4 linked regions of the Canis lupus familiaris genome follow. The protein of the gene in region 4 purifies or fractionates together with the protein of the main gene of each other region. This does not show direct contact. Links are inferred from orthologs where the notes say so. Each region holds a gene or a part of one and is shown on either strand. Other genes may lie near its edges.

Region 1 (4,412 bases), on a different chromosome or scaffold from region 4:
AGTGGAAGGGAATGGGCGGGACAACCTCTAAAGGAGGTCTACGGGGCTGGCCCGCACCCCTCCTCTTTATTTGCATGTATTCAATAAGCACTTGTTTGCGTCTGTGTCGGAAACCGGGAACCGAGCTGAATGCGTAGCGTGCACCCCAACCCCAGGCATAAAGCGACGCGGCCGCAGAGCAGCTCAGTTCCAAAACCACGGAGCCCAGCGGTCAACCCCTCGCCCTCTCCAAACGCCCACGCACGGAAATCCCCTGCTTGGCTTCGATTTAGCGGCGGAAACACCTAGGAGGCCCGAGGGGGAGTCCCGACAGTTTGGCGTCTAAGGGGAGGCGCGCATTGCGCCACGCCGCCCAATCAAAAGCGGCTTCGGAAAAGTAATCCCAGAACAGAGAGACTCCTGACTCCGGGAAACGGCCTAGGGGTGGTGGAAGGGGAGGAGGGCGGGGGGTGGGGGGGAATGGGTGATGGGCACTTAGGGGGGCACCTGACGGGATGAGCACTGGGGGCTATTCTGTATGTCGGTAAATTGAACACCAATTTTATTATTTAAAAAAAAAAAAAAAAAAGGAAAAGGAATCCCTCAGACACGACCCCGACTCTCTCCAGTCCCCCTACGGAACAACCCGGCAAAAAAAAAGTCCTCCTGGCAGCTTAGCCAATTGGAAGAATCCGGACGATCATGCACGACCAATCAGAATTGCAGATGTCGATTCAAGTTGGCCAATGGGAAGGCTAAATGGCGAGGTCCGGGCGTCTGTTGCTGGGTAGAGAAAGTGAAGGATTGCGAGAAGAGGGCCCCGGGATCACTGTATTCCTTGGTTTGGGGAAGCCCTTTGTGTACCAAACAGGAAGACAGTTGCTAGTAGGCTTTCACGTTGCAACAGCTGCCCTCCTTTTTCTTTTTCTCAAGTAGTTGCTGCACGTTTAGGCGGTAGGCTAGAAAGACTAGCAAACAAGCCCTAAGACGACCGCGCGATCGGAAGCCAGACGGGAGTAAGGGTGGTGACGGGGTGGGAGGGGCGAGTGGGAAGGGAGCTCCCCCGCGGCTGCGCAGAGCCCGGGGCTGGAAGTTCGGGAAGGCGGGCGGGCGCGCACACGCCTCGGTGCTACGAGGCACTTGAACTGTAGCCAGGCTTCCCCGTCTCCCGCTCCGGTGCGGCTGCGCGGTGAAACCACTGGCGGCGATTGGCCCAGGGGTGAGAGGGGGCGGGAGGGAAGGGGAGGGAAGGGGAGGGAAGTCCGTCGTCCTCGGCGCGCGCCCGCCCGCGGCAGGGAAATCGAGGGGGCAGGAAGGGAAGCAGTTCCCCGTTGCGTTGTTTCGGGCTCGGGGAGCCGAAAGGGGGAGGGGAGGAGGAGGGAGAAACAAACCCTACGTCGCAGCGGCTGCGCGCGGCCTTCGCTGCCTGCCTGCGTGCGTACGTGCGTGCGCTCGCTCGCGCGGGCTCAGTGCTGGCGCGTGAGGCGGAGGCGGGCGGCGGCGGCGCCTGCGCGGTCGGGCTCGGTCGACGGTTCGCAGGGGAGGAGGCGGCGGGAGGCGGAGGAGGCGGCGGCGGCGGCGATGGAGGTGAAGCGGCTGAAAGTGACCGAGCTGCGGTCGGAGCTGCAGCGGCGGGGCCTGGACTCGCGCGGCCTCAAGGTAGATCTGGCGCAGCGGCTGCAGGAGGCGCTAGACGCCGAGATGCTGGAGGACGAGGCCGGCGGTGGCGGGGCCGGGCCCGGCGGGGCCTGCAAGGCGGAGCCTCGGCCTGTGGCCGCGTCGGGCGGTGGCCCGGGCGGGGACGAGGAGGACGACGAAGAGGAGGAGGAGGAGGACGAGGAGGCGCTGCTTGAGGACGAGGACGAAGAGCCACCCCCTGCCCAGGCGTCGGGCCAGGCCGCGCAGCCGCCGCCGGAGCCCCCGGAGGCGGCAGCCATGGAGGCCGCGGCCGAGCCCGATGCTTCCGAGAAGCCGGCGGAGGAGGCCACGGCTGGGTCAGGTGGGGTAAATGGTGGCGAAGAGCAGGGCACCGGCAAGGGGGAGGAAGACGAGCCAGAGGAGCGGAGCGGGGATGAGACGCCGGGATCCGAGGCGCCGGGTGACAAGGCCGCAGAGGAACAGGGTGAGGAGCTGGCAGCGGAGCCCGTCCCCAAACTGCCCCCGATCCAGCACTCAGCCGTGCACCGCGGGGTCCGATTCCTTGTTCTCAATTGCCTGGAAGCGCAAGATTCCCGGCGCCTTTTGGTGGGAGTTCCCAGGGGAGTTGGCTTTCATTCTTGGCCCACCTTGCTGGAGGGTTTGACTGCCCCTGGTGGCCCCGCTCTCTGCAGGAGAGACGTTCCTGCCTAACTTGGTTCCTTAGTGGTAGTGGATGGAAGTAATTTTGCATGCGAACTGCTTGTGAGCTACCTGTGGAGCAGCCTGTCGCGGTATTGGTTATCTCTTCCTTAAGCGGGAATGCGCTGAGAGATTGGTGCTTACACGGACGGCCAGACCGGACTGTTGGAGGCTTTGGCCTTTGGGTTACCTGAGTATTGATATTTCCGTTTTAAAAATATTGAGCAATAGTCTAAGTTCGCTAAAGTTCGCTCCATCCCATTGCTGGAGCTTGAGCCACACGGTGAATCTGTAAGTCTAACCTTGCTCCTGCTTTAGCAGCCTGTGGTGTGAGGCTATGGAGTTTAATAGTTAACTAGTGAAGAGACGGTCTTAATCTAGTGCATTTAGAACTAGCCAACCCTCTTGGCTAGAGGTTTTATCTTGTCTGAATTCTTATGATTAAATTTAAATCTTTTCACTGAGTCCATGGATGGGAAAATGTGTGGATTTGCTGCACACTTGGTTAGTCTTTTACATTTTAGGTCCCTGACTTCCTGAATTGAAACGATTGAGGTGTTGGTGGCTCCATTGAGTAACCTGGGAAGAAAATGTGTGGAATTGCCCCAGGGAGTTAGTGACCTTTCTCTTTTCTTTTGAAGTGGTTGGATGGTTAGAGCTGATCCGTACCTGTCTGTCCGAGTAGGCAGGAAAACTAGAGCTGTTTCCGAGTCTTACTATGAAGTGGGTTGCCTTAGTTCTTATAAGAGATTTTTTTTAGGCTGCTATTAGTAATCATGGTATAATTGGAACCCATTCTAAGACAGTCACATGCAACTTGCAGATTGTTTGCTCTGTGTCCTGGAACAAAAATCCCATTACATAACCTTTGACTTAACGTGTATCCCAAATAGCAGATAAAAAAGGTTTTGAGAGAGAAAAGACCGCTTTAAATAAATTATTATTTTAAACGCTTGTTTTACAAACTAAGGAAAATTTTCAGATTTTTTTCCTCTTGCAGAGAATGTTGCTAAATATATGATAACACCTTTCTGCCCCAAATTATGTGCAGTAAAGATGCAGTATTATTTATGGGTCTCTTGTGACTTAATGGTTTGCCCTTGACAACTTTCAGTAAAGCCCATGGTAAAAATATAGCTTTGTATATGCACCTGAGTCCATTTGCTGTATAAGTAAATGCTGCGAAGGGCTGTGCATTCTAAGCTAGAAAGGCAAACTCTTTAAAACACACACACACACACATATTGAGACATCTATATCATGAAGCTGCTGAAGAGTGATGGAAAATGTATATTAAGTGCCTAGCTTACATTGAAATTTGACAAGAGTCTAAATTAACCTATGAAATTTTTAAAGACTTAGGGGATTTTTAAAGATGTCATATTGGTGGGAAAATCTGCAGGTTTGACCTGATTTAAGTAGATAAATTTAGAATGCAAAAATTGTCCAATTTTTATCTACTGCTCGACTGTAATTAGCTCATAATCATAATGTCCGTCCTTTTTTCTAAAGTACCAGTCAATGACAGGAGGATGATCTTTAGAAATAAACGTTCTGTGGATGCAGTGGGAATAACCTGGCTATTCTGATTAGATAGATACTCAGATCCCTTTTTAGTTTCTATTGGTTCTGAGCTTATTCTACACTCCAGTATGAAAACTGCTGATTTTCTTTCCCTCCTTTTTGTAGGAGATGACCAAGATAGTGAAAAGTCAAAACCAGCAGGCTCAGATGGTGAGCGGCGGGGGGTAAAGAGACAGCGGGATGAGAAGGATGAACATGGCCGAGCTTACTATGAATTCCGAGAGGAGGCTTACCACAGCCGGTGAGGGAAACAGCCCCTTTCGTTGAAAGGAGTGTCTGCTCTGATTTTGATATACCTGATGTTGATTGGAGAGAGGGGTGGATCTAAAATCAAATAGGCTTTTATAGGTATAAGTTTTAGATTGAATCTGTTCTGAAAGCTCCTGTTGCTGTTTTCATTGTTGAAAGAAGCTGTCTTTTGGAATTTTGTATTCACTGATAGTTTAAAACGTTATACAGACACCCATTAAGGAAGAGGACTTTGGATACACTGTATTTGCTTTTTTCTCATA
Region 2 (4,442 bases), on a different chromosome or scaffold from region 4:
TAAAGATTTGTTCAATGGCACCTGGATGACTCAGTGATTCAAGCGTCTGCCTTTGGCTCAGGTCATGATCCCAGGATCCTGGGATTGAGTCTCACAAAGGGCTCCCTGCTCAGTAGGGAGTCTGCTTCTCCCTCTACCCCTCTCCCTGCTCATGTTCTCTCAAATAAATAAACAAAAATCTTTAAAAAAAATTTGAGAGAGCACTTGCAAAAGTGGGGTAGGGGCAAAGAGAGAGACTATCAAGCAGACTCCTTGATGAGCGTGGAGACCCACAGGGGGCTCCATCTCACCACCCATGAGATCATGATCTGAGCTGACACCAAGAGTTGGACACCTAACCAACCGAGCCATTCAAGCACCCCTGAAATTTCATGCAATTTTAATGTATGAGAGAATTCAAAGGTAAGTTAAGACACAGGCCTGGGGCACCTGGGTGGCGCCTCCTTTGAGCACCTGAGTTTTGGCTTAGGTCATGATCTTGGGTTGTGAGATGGAGCCTCAAGTAGGGCTCCATGCTCAGTGCAGAGTCTGCTTGTCCCTCTCCCTCTGTTCCTCCCCTCACATGCTCTCTAATAAATGAAACCTTAAAAAAAAAACACCCCAAAATACGTTGTAGTATATATAAAATAATTTAATAGGATATATATAAAAGACAGCAAATAGAACACATATGAACTTATTTAGCCCTAAGTGAGATCTTGTTATTATCACTATTTTACAGATGAGGAACCAAGGGTCAGAAAGATTTTCTAAAGTCACATAGTAAGAAAGTTTGAGCAAATGCAAATGGTTCATTTTGGCTGTAGAATGGGATACTCCACACTAGTGTGTGTCATATTTGGCACCTTGCATTTCAGATGGAAGAGCCTGAACGCCGTGCCAACAAGTCTACACTTTACTGTTCAGATAGTCATAAATTATTAAAGCAGAGTCCAGTCATTGGCAATACCACCATGGCAGTGATTTTTAGGAAGTGGGATGGAGAATTTGGTTAGGTCTCAGTATCTCCACCCCGGCCTAGTAACATCTGGGGCCAGGTAACTCTGTTGAGTGATGTCCAGCGCGTTGTACAATGTTCAGCAGCATCTCTAGCTTCTACTCACTAGCGGCCTGCCAGTAGAAACAGGCTCCCTACCCCACAGTTAAGAACCACTGAATTAAGCTAAACCAGGAGGAGGGCATAAAAGAGTAGAAAATATCTGTGAAGAAATAAAAGAGAAAAAAAATTGAAGGTCATTTTGGAGGATGGTCTCAAAGTACATGAGATCGAGAGATGAGAGAAATTATTAAAACCAGTTTCATCCTGTGAAATTCTCAAATATCTGTTAAGAAACAAAAGCACCTGTTAAGAAATGAAAAAGGTAATCTAAGATTACAAGTAGAGGATGGTTCTTTTGCTAAAAATAATTAGCATCTCACCAGTTCGTGAAGAACCCAGAGAATACTTCTAAGGTTTTGCCAAGTCGTCAAGGAAAGAGAGTTTTAGACAGAACTCCAAAATAAGTTGTATTTTTCTTAACGTCGGGCTCACGATGAACACTTCAACAGACCCAGCTAAAATACACGGAGTTCTTGCACAAAAAATGGCTTTGATACAAATATGCATTTCAATGTAAAACTATTTTTTTTCTTTAAAAGATTTACTTGAGAGCGAGAACCAGAGAGAGAGAGAGAGTGCGCGTGCGAGCGAGCAGGCGAGCAGTGGGGAGGGGGCAGAGAAGGAGGAGACACACCAAGCCGACTCCACGCTGAGCCCAGAGCCCACCGGGGCTGATCTCACCAGCAGATCAGGATCTGGGCTGAAACCAAGAGTGGGACCCTTAACCGACTGACCACCAAGGCGCCCCTAAATGCACAATTTCCTGGGCAGCCCGGGGGTGGGGGGGGGTGGGGCTCAGCGGTTGTGCGGCTGCCTTTGGCTCAGGTCGTGACCCCAAGGTTCTGGGATCGAGTCCTGCGTCGGGCTCCCTGCATGGAGCCCGCTTCTCCCTCTGCCTGTGTCTCAAATAAATAATAAAAAAAATCTTAAAAAAAAAAAAAAAAAGCACAATTACTAAATACGGCTTTTTCTTGCAGTCTGACTCCTCCACGAGGCTGGCAGGACGTGACCCACGCACAGGGCGGACGGCTGTTTCACAAAGCGACCCCCGGGTCCCGTTCTCCTGTTCTGCGCTACCACGTGCAGAAATCCTGGGACTGCGCGGCGGACACGAGACGGAGGCACTCGGGAGGCCCTGCACACGCTCGGCCCAGCGTCCCCGAGCCCGGGCCCACGCAAGTAGGAACATCCGGTTTTGAGGGGATTTTTACTGGATGCAGGAAAAAAGAAAAAAACTTACTTTTCTTGGATTAAAAAAAAAGAAAAAAATGAACGTTCCCCCACAGCGCTGTTAACAGATCACGTGACATCCAAGTCTTAACTTCTGCACAAGATCAAAAAAAAATTTATTTTTTTTAAATTTTCATCTATTCATGAGAGACCCAGAGAGAGAGAGAGAGACAGAGAGACACAGAGAGAGAGAGAGAGGCGCAGAGACCCGGGCGGAGGGAGGAGCAGGCTCCACGCAGGGAGCCCGACGCGGGCCTCGAACCCGTGACCCCGGGTCACGCCCTGGGCCGCGGGCGGCGCTAACCCCGCTGGGCCCCCGGGCGCCCCGGAGGGAGATTCCGAGAACAGAGCTCAAGGAAACCGCCGCCCCGCCCCGTCCTCGCGCCCCGCGGAGCCGCTCTGCCGCCCCCCGAGCGGGGCCCCGGCGCACGGACGCCGCCACCCGCACGCGGCCCTCCCGCGTACTCACTTTTTCAGCTCGGGAGGGTGAGCCTTGCTCATGGCGCCGACTCGGCGAGCTCGCAGAGGCCTCCACACGGCTCCCTCACGCTCCCGCCGCTTGGCGCCTGACGTCACCGGCCCCCGCCGCCAATCAAACGCCGGCAGAGGTCACATTCCCTCCCGCGATACTTTGAGGGCGCCCCCGGACTTGCCGAACGCCCGCGAGTTTCCGGTTGCGTTGCCAGCGATTGGCCTGCATGGGGCTACATGGGGTGGGACTTCCGGTCGCCTCCTCAATTCCGTTTCCTGATTGGTGAAACTGACGTAAGGGCTGGGTCTCTAAGTCGTCGGCGCAGCTGGCGGATCCCTCGCTTTGCGACCTGCGCGGGTTAGCGTCCTCGCACGTGCCCAGTGCGCACGCGCTCGGGAGGGCTGGGCTCTGGTCCTGCCAAGGTCGATCAGCCTGCGGTGCCCCCGCATCGGGCGCTCTGCTCCTCCCTTCTGCCTGTGTCTCTCGTTAATAAATAAAATCTTAAAAAAAAAAAAAAAAAAAAAAAAGACTTAGGCCTCGGTGATTCTGAGTAGAGGATGATTCTCCAAAATTCAGTTCCTCCCTAATGTCCAGGAATGGCTCTATTTAAATACGAATAAAAGACTGAGCCTCATTCTAGCACTCAAAATCCTACAGGTGGCATTTGCCCAACTTCCCACCTCTCGCTGCTTACAAGCAGCTACGGTCCCGAAATGGATGGTTTAGCCTTCCCACGGTTATTTTTACATTAATGGACTCCGAGTCCCAGGGCCTTAGCTTGTCCTGTTTTCCCCCATTTACAATGAACCAGTCCCGCGTCTGAATCACAGCGAGTTTTTACTCTTCACGACGTCTTCAGACACTTATTTTACACATTACAAAGAGAAGCATCCTAAGAAAGTTGTAGATTCACTGCTCGCATACGAGAGACGCCGTAGTGGAGGAAAAAACTAAACCTTATTTATTTTTTAAAACTGAACCACTAGGAAAATAGATCACAGACTTGAGACACCCAACGCAGGCTATATCATCATTTCAAGTACTAAGTTGGTAAAAAGACAGTAAGGTCTTTATCAAAATGAAAAGGTGCTAGAGCTGGGGCAGGAACACGGCTTGCTGCAAAGGTCCTGGGGCAAGGGTGGCATTTGGTAATGGGGTGGGGGGTTGCCCCTCTTCTGCTTTAAAGGGATCACAGCCCACCCTTGAGTTGCCTACTTTTTCTCCTTTGACCTTCCTGTCACCAAGTGATTGTCTGAATAGGACTCTGTTATTTTGGGGGCAAAATAAGCAATACTGAGTTTAGGTTTTCATCCCATTCTGTTCCATAAAAGCCAGGTTTTTCCAAAGCCAGTACCTAATAACTCTCTTAATTAAGAAGACAAGAGCTCCTCCTTCAGTGTTCATTCCTGGATGCTGGTAAATGGTGCAATCAAAAACCCCTTTCCCTTCAAAAAGGAGAGTGTCACTGTGAGATTGTCCTGTCGCTCTGCTGCAGATAGCCTCGGGGCCCGTCATGGCAGCTGGCGAGAGGAAAGATCTGCTTCCCATACCCAATGGAGCATCACCTGTCATGTTTTTGCAGGGTCTCTCTCCTAGCTGAAAGATGGGATGTGTATTTCAAGAAATGCACACCCACATCTT
Region 3 (4,417 bases), on a different chromosome or scaffold from region 4:
CATCTTCACCGAGTCACAAACTGCGATCCCTGAAAGGACTTGAGCGGGAGGGACGCCACCTGCCCGGATCCCACCCGGGCCCTGGACACGGACGCACGGCGGGAGGCGGCCCTTCCCACACTTCTCCTGCGGGCTCACGAGCATCCGCCACCGGTCCGGGGAAGGCCGCGGCGTTCCGCGCACACGTGGGTCGGCGCCTGTCCGCGACGGCAGCGGCTCTTGTTCCGATGCGCGCGGACGCTGCCGGCCAAGCGGGTTCCCGACGACCGGCCGAGCTCCCCTGGGAGCCTCCACGCGCGGGGCGACCAGAAGCCCCGGGGTGCGTGTGCGCGTGCGCGTGCGCGAGCGCGTGGAGCGGTTATGCCGAAGCCGAAGCGACACGCCACAGAGTCAGGGTCTCCCTACCGGAAACGCGTGTGGGGTGAAGGCCCGAGCGCCGGGCGCCGGCGGCCACTGTGGAGAGAACGCGCGCCCCCGCGCCCCCGCGCCCTCCCGCCCGCTCCTCCACAGCCCGCAGCGAGGCCTCCCGCTTCCGCACCGCTGACTGGGCGACCCGCCCGGGCGCCGTCCGCAGGCCGCCCGCCGCCGGCTCCACAGCGGGGCCTCCCCCTCGGAGTCCGCCCGCCGCCTCCGAGGAGCCCAACCTACGGCGCGCTCGGCGCCCATTGGCTCGGCGGGACGCTGCTCAGGGCGCAGGGCCCGCCCCCACGTCCCGAGGGCCCGAGGGCCCGTCCGTCGGCGGCAAAGGCGGACCCGATTGGCCCGCGCGCAAGCCAGTCAGACTCCGGGCCGCGGAGCCCCACGGCACTCCCGGCCGGCAGACATCCCGCCCCCGCCGTCCATTGGTTGGCTGAACCCAGCGCTCCCCCTTTACGAGCCCCCACCCCGCGCTCCATTCATTTCACACAATAACGGGCCCAATTGGAGTCAGTTCAACACCTCGTATGAGTAGGCGAGACGATCCGCCGCTTACCCGGAATCGAGACCGGCCACTCGCGCCAACGCCTCCCCTGTTCCTCTGTGGCGAGGCCGGACCACGGGACGCCGCCGCCGCCGCCTTCTGCGCAACGCCAACCGCCCGCCAAAACGGATCCTTCCCTGCGCCTGCGCGGCCAATCCTGCGACCGGACCCTTTCTCCGCCCATTACGCCTGCGCAGAGCGGGGCGCGACTCCCGCCACGACGCAGGCGCCGTAGAGTCGCCGCCGTCTCCCGCCCGCCATTTCACGTGCTCCAAGCGCCGAGCGGAACTGGTTAGTGCGCCTGCGTAAACTCGCCATTTTACTACACATGCGCCCGGCGGGCGGTCGTTTGCAAAAAAAAAAAAAAAGAAAAAAAAATCACCTGATAACCTCGTTCGTAATATATTAGCATTTACCGTGCTTCGCCAACTGAGCGGAACATAATTTCGGGGCGGAATGGATTGAAAATTCATTTAAATACCTTAGGTTCGTTCAAATATGAATGACTGGTTGACGAGCCAATCACAGTAATTAGGAATAATATTACCCGGGAACCAATAGACCTGAAGGGGCGGAGCCTGCGTAGAACGCCCAAGCGGATGACGTTGCGCAGCAGTGCGGGGCTATAGACCAATAGCAGGGGGAGGCTATCGCAAACATCCAATCAGAGACGCTCAGGGGCGGAGTCTACCAATGCCTAAAGCGAGGAGGCGGGATAAAAAAGCGAGGCCGAAGGTAGGCTGGCAGATACGTTCGTTAGATTACTCCTTTCTGCCCCTGGACGCCGCCGAGTAAGCATCGTTAAAGTCTCCCCTCCCACCGCCGTCATGTCTAAGTCAGAGGTGAGTAACACGCTGTCTCCCGCCTAGTTTCCTTCCTCACTCCTTCCCTGGGGCCGGTAGGACGCGGCCTGGCGTGGCCGCTCGCGCCAGCCCGTTCGGCAGCCCTTCGGGGGCCGCCAGGGCCTTCCCCTCCCGAAGTTGAGGTCGCCATTTTGTCCTCGTCGTCGCCATGAGGCCGCCGTCCTGCAGCGCTTGGCTGTGGCGCCGGGCTGCGCCCTCCCGGCAGAACTCGCGGGCGCATTCGACGGGTTTTGTTTGATCGTGTCTCCGGGAGCGAGTTTCTTGCGGAGCAGCCGTAGTTCCCCGCCGCTTCGGCGTCCGTCCAGCCGAGTCCTTTTGTTGCGCGTGCGTCGGAGGGAGAGTCGGGGCGCATGCGCCCGCGGCCTCCCAGCCCCCACCGCTCGGTCCCCCCCGAGGGGAGAAGCACGTGGCCTCCCGTAACCCGAGGGAACAATACGTGCCTTGTAACGCTGCTGTCTAGGATTTTCCTCCCAACGGGACGGGGCTGGGCGTTGGGCGCGCCACGTAACGAGCTGTGTCCCCGCTCCTAGTCTCCCAAAGAGCCCGAGCAGCTGCGGAAACTCTTCATCGGAGGTTTGAGCTTCGAAACGACCGATGAGAGTCTGAGGAGCCATTTTGAGCAATGGGGGACGCTTACGGACTGTGTGGTAAGACGTGCCGGAGACGGAGGGCCCGGGAGCGAGGTGGCTTCCGCCGCTCCGACGGCGGTTAACGGGACTGGGGCGGAGAGCCGGCCGGCGCCGGAAGGGGTGGTCCCAGCCGCGGAGGCGCTCCCGGGAGGAGATGCACGTGTGGCGGCCCCGGGGAGCCGGAGGGCCTCGTGGGCGGGCGGGGGGGGGGGGGAGGGGGCGCGCTTTTCTTTTTTTTTTTTTTTTTCTTTTTCTTTTTTTAATTTGTAACTCAGCGTGAGAAGTTCCGGGGTTCTCCTCAGTATTCAGGGAGCTCACCTTTCAGGTAATGAGAGACCCCAACACCAAGCGCTCCAGAGGCTTTGGGTTCGTCACGTACGCCACCGTGGAGGAGGTGGACGCGGCCATGAACGCCCGGCCGCACAAGGTGGACGGAAGAGTCGTGGAACCAAAGAGGGCTGTCTCCCGAGAAGTGAGTGAGGGTTTATTCTTTCCTGGGCAGACGCAGAAGCGGGCCGCCAAGGGGACCTCGCGGTTAGGGGTGGCTTGGTCGGTGTAAATAACGGAATTGTGTCCGTCCCGTCCCCCCCCCCAACAATAGGATTCTCAAAGACCCGGTGCCCACTTAACTGTGAAAAAGATTTTTGTCGGTGGCATTAAAGAAGACACTGAAGAACATCATCTAAGAGATTATTTTGAACAGTATGGGAAAATCGAAGTGATTGAGATCATGACTGACCGAGGCAGTGGCAAAAAGAGAGGTTTCGCTTTTGTGACCTTTGATGACCACGACTCTGTAGACAAGATTGTCAGTAAGTGTCGGGCATGCTCTTTGCTACGGCTTCTGAAATCCATGTTACGTTCTAAAGCCTGAGGTCATGTTCTCTTGGAATTTTTTTTTTTTTTTTAGTTCAAAAATACCATACTGTGAATGGCCACAACTGTGAAGTAAGGAAAGCCCTATCGAAGCAAGAGATGGCTAGTGCTTCGTCCAGCCAAAGAGGTGCGTTTGTTCAGTTAATCCTTGCACGTGAGGATTAATTAACTGAGTGATTCTCCAATCCGTATAATGTAACATTTAAAACTTTTGTGTTTTAAGGCCGAAGTGGTTCTGGAAACTTTGGTGGTGGTCGTGGAGGTGGTTTTGGTGGGAATGACAACTTTGGTCGTGGAGGGAACTTCAGTGGTCGAGGTAAGTTTACCACTCAAAGTTAACAATAAATTTATACTTTGATTATCCCCAGGTCCCTTTTTCCTCTGCAGCAGATTAACTCCTGGCTTAAATTTTATCCAAGTGTAGATCTGGCTTTTTACTAACCAGAAAGTTAAATCATCAACATTGGGATCATTTTTGTAGCACAGGAAGTATCTTTATAGAATTCTACTTTAAAACAACATAGAACACGTATACTCTGTACACTTCATGGTGGTTTAAAACTCTACTTTCTTTCAGGTGGCTTCGGTGGCAGTCGAGGTGGTGGTGGATATGGTGGCAGTGGGGATGGCTATAACGGATTTGGTAATGACGGTAAGTTTATTTTAAGGAATATATAGGTGGAGTTTCGTTTGGCAACCTTTAGACTAGGTTAGTAGAGCTAAACTAGTGCATGATAAACAGCTCTGATAACAGCATGCTGTGAGCAGGCTTTTAGGCATTACACTTGCACAGGTTTTGACTGTGAAATACTTTTGTCTTATTGAGAAGAATTGTATTCTTGTAGGTGGTTATGGAGGAGGCGGCCCTGGTTACTCTGGAGGAAGCAGAGGCTATGGAAGTGGTGGACAGGGTTATGGAAACCAGGGCAGTGGCTATGGCGGGAGTGGCAGCTATGACAGCTATAACAACGGAGGAGGCGGAGGCGGCTATGGCGGTGGTAGTGGTAGGTATCCAGTGATCCAAGTACTTGGTGCAAAAGCTAGATTAGCCCTTTAGAGTTTATGTCCCTAAGGGGATTTAATGCTCT
Region 4 (3,033 bases):
GTCTGTTAGGCTTCAAGGAGTCCTTCTTTCTTAATTACCTGGCTCCAGGAGCCTGAGAGGCAGTAGCTATTTGCACCCAGTTATTGAAATTACATCCTTGTCTTTACTTGGAAGAGCCTTGTCCATGTTTACACCAGATCCAGGAGTGCTCAGTATTTGCTAAGTGAGTATCAAAGTCCCAAGAACACTGGACATGCTGAAGAGTTTCATGTTAATTACCTAGTCATCTAATTGCACATCACAGAAAAGGGGGGGAGGGGGTGTCCCTGGAGCAGGTGGGAAGGTCTGTTCAGTAGTGCCTTTTTTTAGCTCCACTGTTAATTCTTCCAAAGTTAGCCTTTGTCCCGCGCTCCCACAAAACATTCTTGTCAATGCATTTTTGGGGGAGGGGAGATGAACTCTTAAGTTTCACATAAAATTCACATTATACCTCTCCTTCTTGATTAGAGTTCTGACTCATTGTGTATAGATGTGACTAGCATTCAACACTCAATCTTCCCAACCACTGAAAAATCTGTCCTTAATTCTTGAGACTCCAGTTTGGGCAGAGGAAACCCAGGTGTTTTGGGAGGCACTAACCCTTTCCCACTAGGTAGAAAGTGCCAGACACAAGTGTGGGGGCCACTGCCTGAAACATCAAATTTATTGTGCTGTTCTTACATTCCAAACCCAACCCCCTCTCCCAATGGAGGTGAGCAGAGGGAAGGATTTTCACAGTACCTGCATGCCTCCCTGCCAAACTTCCCCTTCACTTAACCCTCAGTCCATCTATCTGTGGTCCATTGCAACAACAGCCAGGGACAAGGGCTGAGGAGAAAGGGGAATCTCCTTTGGAGAGCAGGAGGAAGAGGCCAGAGAACTTGATACCGCCCACCTCCCATACCCTAGGAGAACAGAGGTCAGCAAACAGTCCATGCCATCCAGCCCAGTGAGCTGGGGGAGAGAGGAAGATGTCGGTAACTCCAGCACAGCTGGGCTTGCTGCTTAGATGCCAGAGGTGTAGGGAGGAGGCTGGGGCAGCAACGTAGGAAAAGCTTTCTTTGCAGATCCATGAAAGGAAACAATTTTTGGAGCCAAAAGGAAAGACTTTGAGATACTTTCCTTTTCCCCCAGGTCCTTAAGAGCAGTGGGCAACTTCTTCACACTTTTCTGTTCAGGGGGCCACTCAGTGGCTGGGGGAACGGGCCTTGTGGAACAGGTACACAGAACGCTGGAAGCCTGAGGAGAGAATGTGCAATCAGGAAGGGTTGGCAGAACTCCAAGACTCCACAGCATCTGCCTTACCATCCCCTCCCCGCCTCCCCCAGGTCAGCCAACCTTACCTCTGGAAGTGTTGTGGGGTGTAGCCACAAGCTCATAGCTGGAGAAGCCCACCTCTGGGGATGTCAGGTAGGAACTGAAGTGCTCTGGCCTCAGCTGGATTCGATAGTAGTTCTTATAGATTGTTTCCTAGGCAGAAGGGCAGGGGACCACGTCAGCCTGTTGGCTTCTTCCCTGGTGTACAGTGATGCCCACCCAGGGAACCTGTCCACCTTGTTCAGAAAGTATTCCTCCTTTCTTGAGGCCTTTCTTGCCCCAACTAAAAGAAGGATATCCCAATATCCACCCAATTCCCAACTCACCGTCAGAGTCTTTCTCTTGCTGTAGGATGACCAAGGTTGGGGCTCTAGGACCAGGATGCCCCCAGGATGTAGATGCCGGTAGATTCGGCGAAACATGCGCTTTAGCCCCTCATCTCCCCAGTTCAGATGCACCCACTTGGTGAGGCTGAGGCAGAGCACCACATCATACTCAGGTGTTTGGGCCTCCACCAGCTCATCTCGATCCAGCACATAGTTACCCTGAGGGCAAGAATTGGGGGCAAGGTCAACAGAGGCAATAAAAGAACCACTGCCTCCACACAACCTGCTCAGCAGCCTCCAAAACAGAAAGTCCTACAGCCTTAGCCCTTGGCCACAACCTTCTCTGACATTTGTCAGACTAACTCCCAGCCTCATTTTCTTGCTTTACATCCTCCTGCCCCTGCTTTCTGGTGGTGATAAGCCAAACATAAAAAGGGAGTGTGGATCATTTTACATTGACCAAGTTACCCAAAAGAGGTCTCCAAACTGGGGTGAAACATCAGAGGAAAAAAATGAGGGTTCTCCTGAGTCCATCTAGTACTTATTCCCACCCTGCAAACATTAAGCTGAGTGACCCAATGTTTTGCAAAGGTTCCTAACCCAGGTTTGAAAGGGAACCAACCTGTGGTTCCTTCCCTGGAATCAAGGTTGGCAAAGTTCCAGGCCTATTTCCTTTCTCCAAGAGAAGTGAAGAGTCCCAGCCCTTAGGAAGCCTTTTCTAGATGATAAATTCATCAACATCTGCAAAGTCATTTTTGCAAGCTTAACCCAACCTGCCACCACCAGTTGGCTTAACTGGAGTATTTTATGGAGAGCTATGTACAGTCAGGGAACAGACACTCTGAAGACTACCCTTCCCGGTTACAGAGGACTCCGACTCTCCCCATCTCACGATCTCAGGTCATCATGAGATGACCTATGGCCAAACTACTTGGGGTCCTGACCACCAACTCTTCAACCAACTCTGGATCTAAGTCCCTATCAAAGTATTAGTCAGCCACCACCCTATTCCTCCTCCCACCCCAAAACATTCCATGTCTGACACCTATCCCTTCATGCACCTGCATTCAGTGCGTTGAGAAAACTTTCCAACTGAACCAAATCTAGTGAGCAGCAGGAGCAGCCTGCAAGGGAAGGTGGACTGGTGTGGATTACAGTCCAGGACAGGAGCAGGGCAAAAGGAGTCAAACCCCATCTTGGGACCAGTAGTCATGACAAAGGAGCCTAGGTAGAGCCCCCATGTTTCCAGGTTATGGGGCGGGGGGAGACACTGTCAGTCACGATTCAGATCCCTGAAGATCTGGTTCTCCTGGCAGAGTACATGCAGAAATCCCTCTGGGTCATAACTTTCCTGTCTTATTCCCACTTAATCTCATCTTCACACCTGGCCCCTATACCAAGAGCCTTCAGA

Evidence for each region. Proteins that work in one complex are often made in the same cells at the same time.
Region 1: the proteins of MEPCE (region 4) and HNRNPUL2 purify together in Homo sapiens (affinity purification with mass spectrometry; 3 studies listed by BioGRID and IntAct, with this or other methods). This does not show direct contact. The link is inferred for Canis lupus familiaris from reciprocal best matches to the Homo sapiens genes MEPCE and HNRNPUL2.
Region 2: the proteins of MEPCE (region 4) and SNRPG purify together in Homo sapiens (affinity purification with mass spectrometry; 3 studies listed by BioGRID and IntAct, counting the BioPlex papers as one, with this or other methods). This does not show direct contact. The link is inferred for Canis lupus familiaris from reciprocal best matches to the Homo sapiens genes MEPCE and SNRPG.
Region 3: the proteins of MEPCE (region 4) and HNRNPA1 purify together in Homo sapiens (affinity purification with mass spectrometry; 3 studies listed by BioGRID and IntAct, counting the BioPlex papers as one, with this or other methods). This does not show direct contact. The link is inferred for Canis lupus familiaris from reciprocal best matches to the Homo sapiens genes MEPCE and HNRNPA1.

The regions. Positions count from the first base shown.
Region 1 is NC_049239.1:54,460,189-54,464,600, forward strand, and holds the start of HNRNPUL2 (heterogeneous nuclear ribonucleoprotein U-like protein 2), read left to right. Parts: upstream 1-1,530; 5' UTR 1,531-1,560; coding exon 1,561-2,101; intron 2,102-4,005; coding exon 4,006-4,141; intron 4,142-4,412.
Region 2 is NC_049231.1:70,134,963-70,139,404, forward strand, and holds the start of SNRPG (small nuclear ribonucleoprotein G), read right to left. Parts: upstream 2,883-4,442; 5' UTR 2,831-2,882; coding exon 2,799-2,830; intron 1-2,798. UniProt on the Homo sapiens protein: Plays a role in pre-mRNA splicing as a core component of the spliceosomal U1, U2, U4 and U5 small nuclear ribonucleoproteins (snRNPs), the building blocks of the spliceosome.
Region 3 is NC_049248.1:45,637,611-45,642,027, forward strand, and holds the start of HNRNPA1 (heterogeneous nuclear ribonucleoprotein A1), read left to right. Parts: upstream 1-1,535; 5' UTR 1,536-1,788; coding exon 1,789-1,803; intron 1,804-2,354; coding exon 2,355-2,471; intron 2,472-2,778; coding exon 2,779-2,925; intron 2,926-3,054; coding exon 3,055-3,265; intron 3,266-3,363; coding exon 3,364-3,456; intron 3,457-3,552; coding exon 3,553-3,645; intron 3,646-3,906; coding exon 3,907-3,981; intron 3,982-4,174; coding exon 4,175-4,333; intron 4,334-4,417. UniProt on the Homo sapiens protein: Involved in the packaging of pre-mRNA into hnRNP particles, transport of poly(A) mRNA from the nucleus to the cytoplasm and modulation of splice site selection.
Region 4 is NC_049227.1:9,179,868-9,182,900, forward strand, and holds the end of MEPCE (7SK snRNA methylphosphate capping enzyme), read right to left. Parts: intron 1,842-3,033; coding exon 1,623-1,841; intron 1,450-1,622; coding exon 1,323-1,449; intron 1,219-1,322; coding exon 1,166-1,218; 3' UTR 614-1,165; downstream 1-613. UniProt on the Homo sapiens protein: S-adenosyl-L-methionine-dependent methyltransferase that adds a methylphosphate cap at the 5'-end of 7SK snRNA (7SK RNA), leading to stabilize it.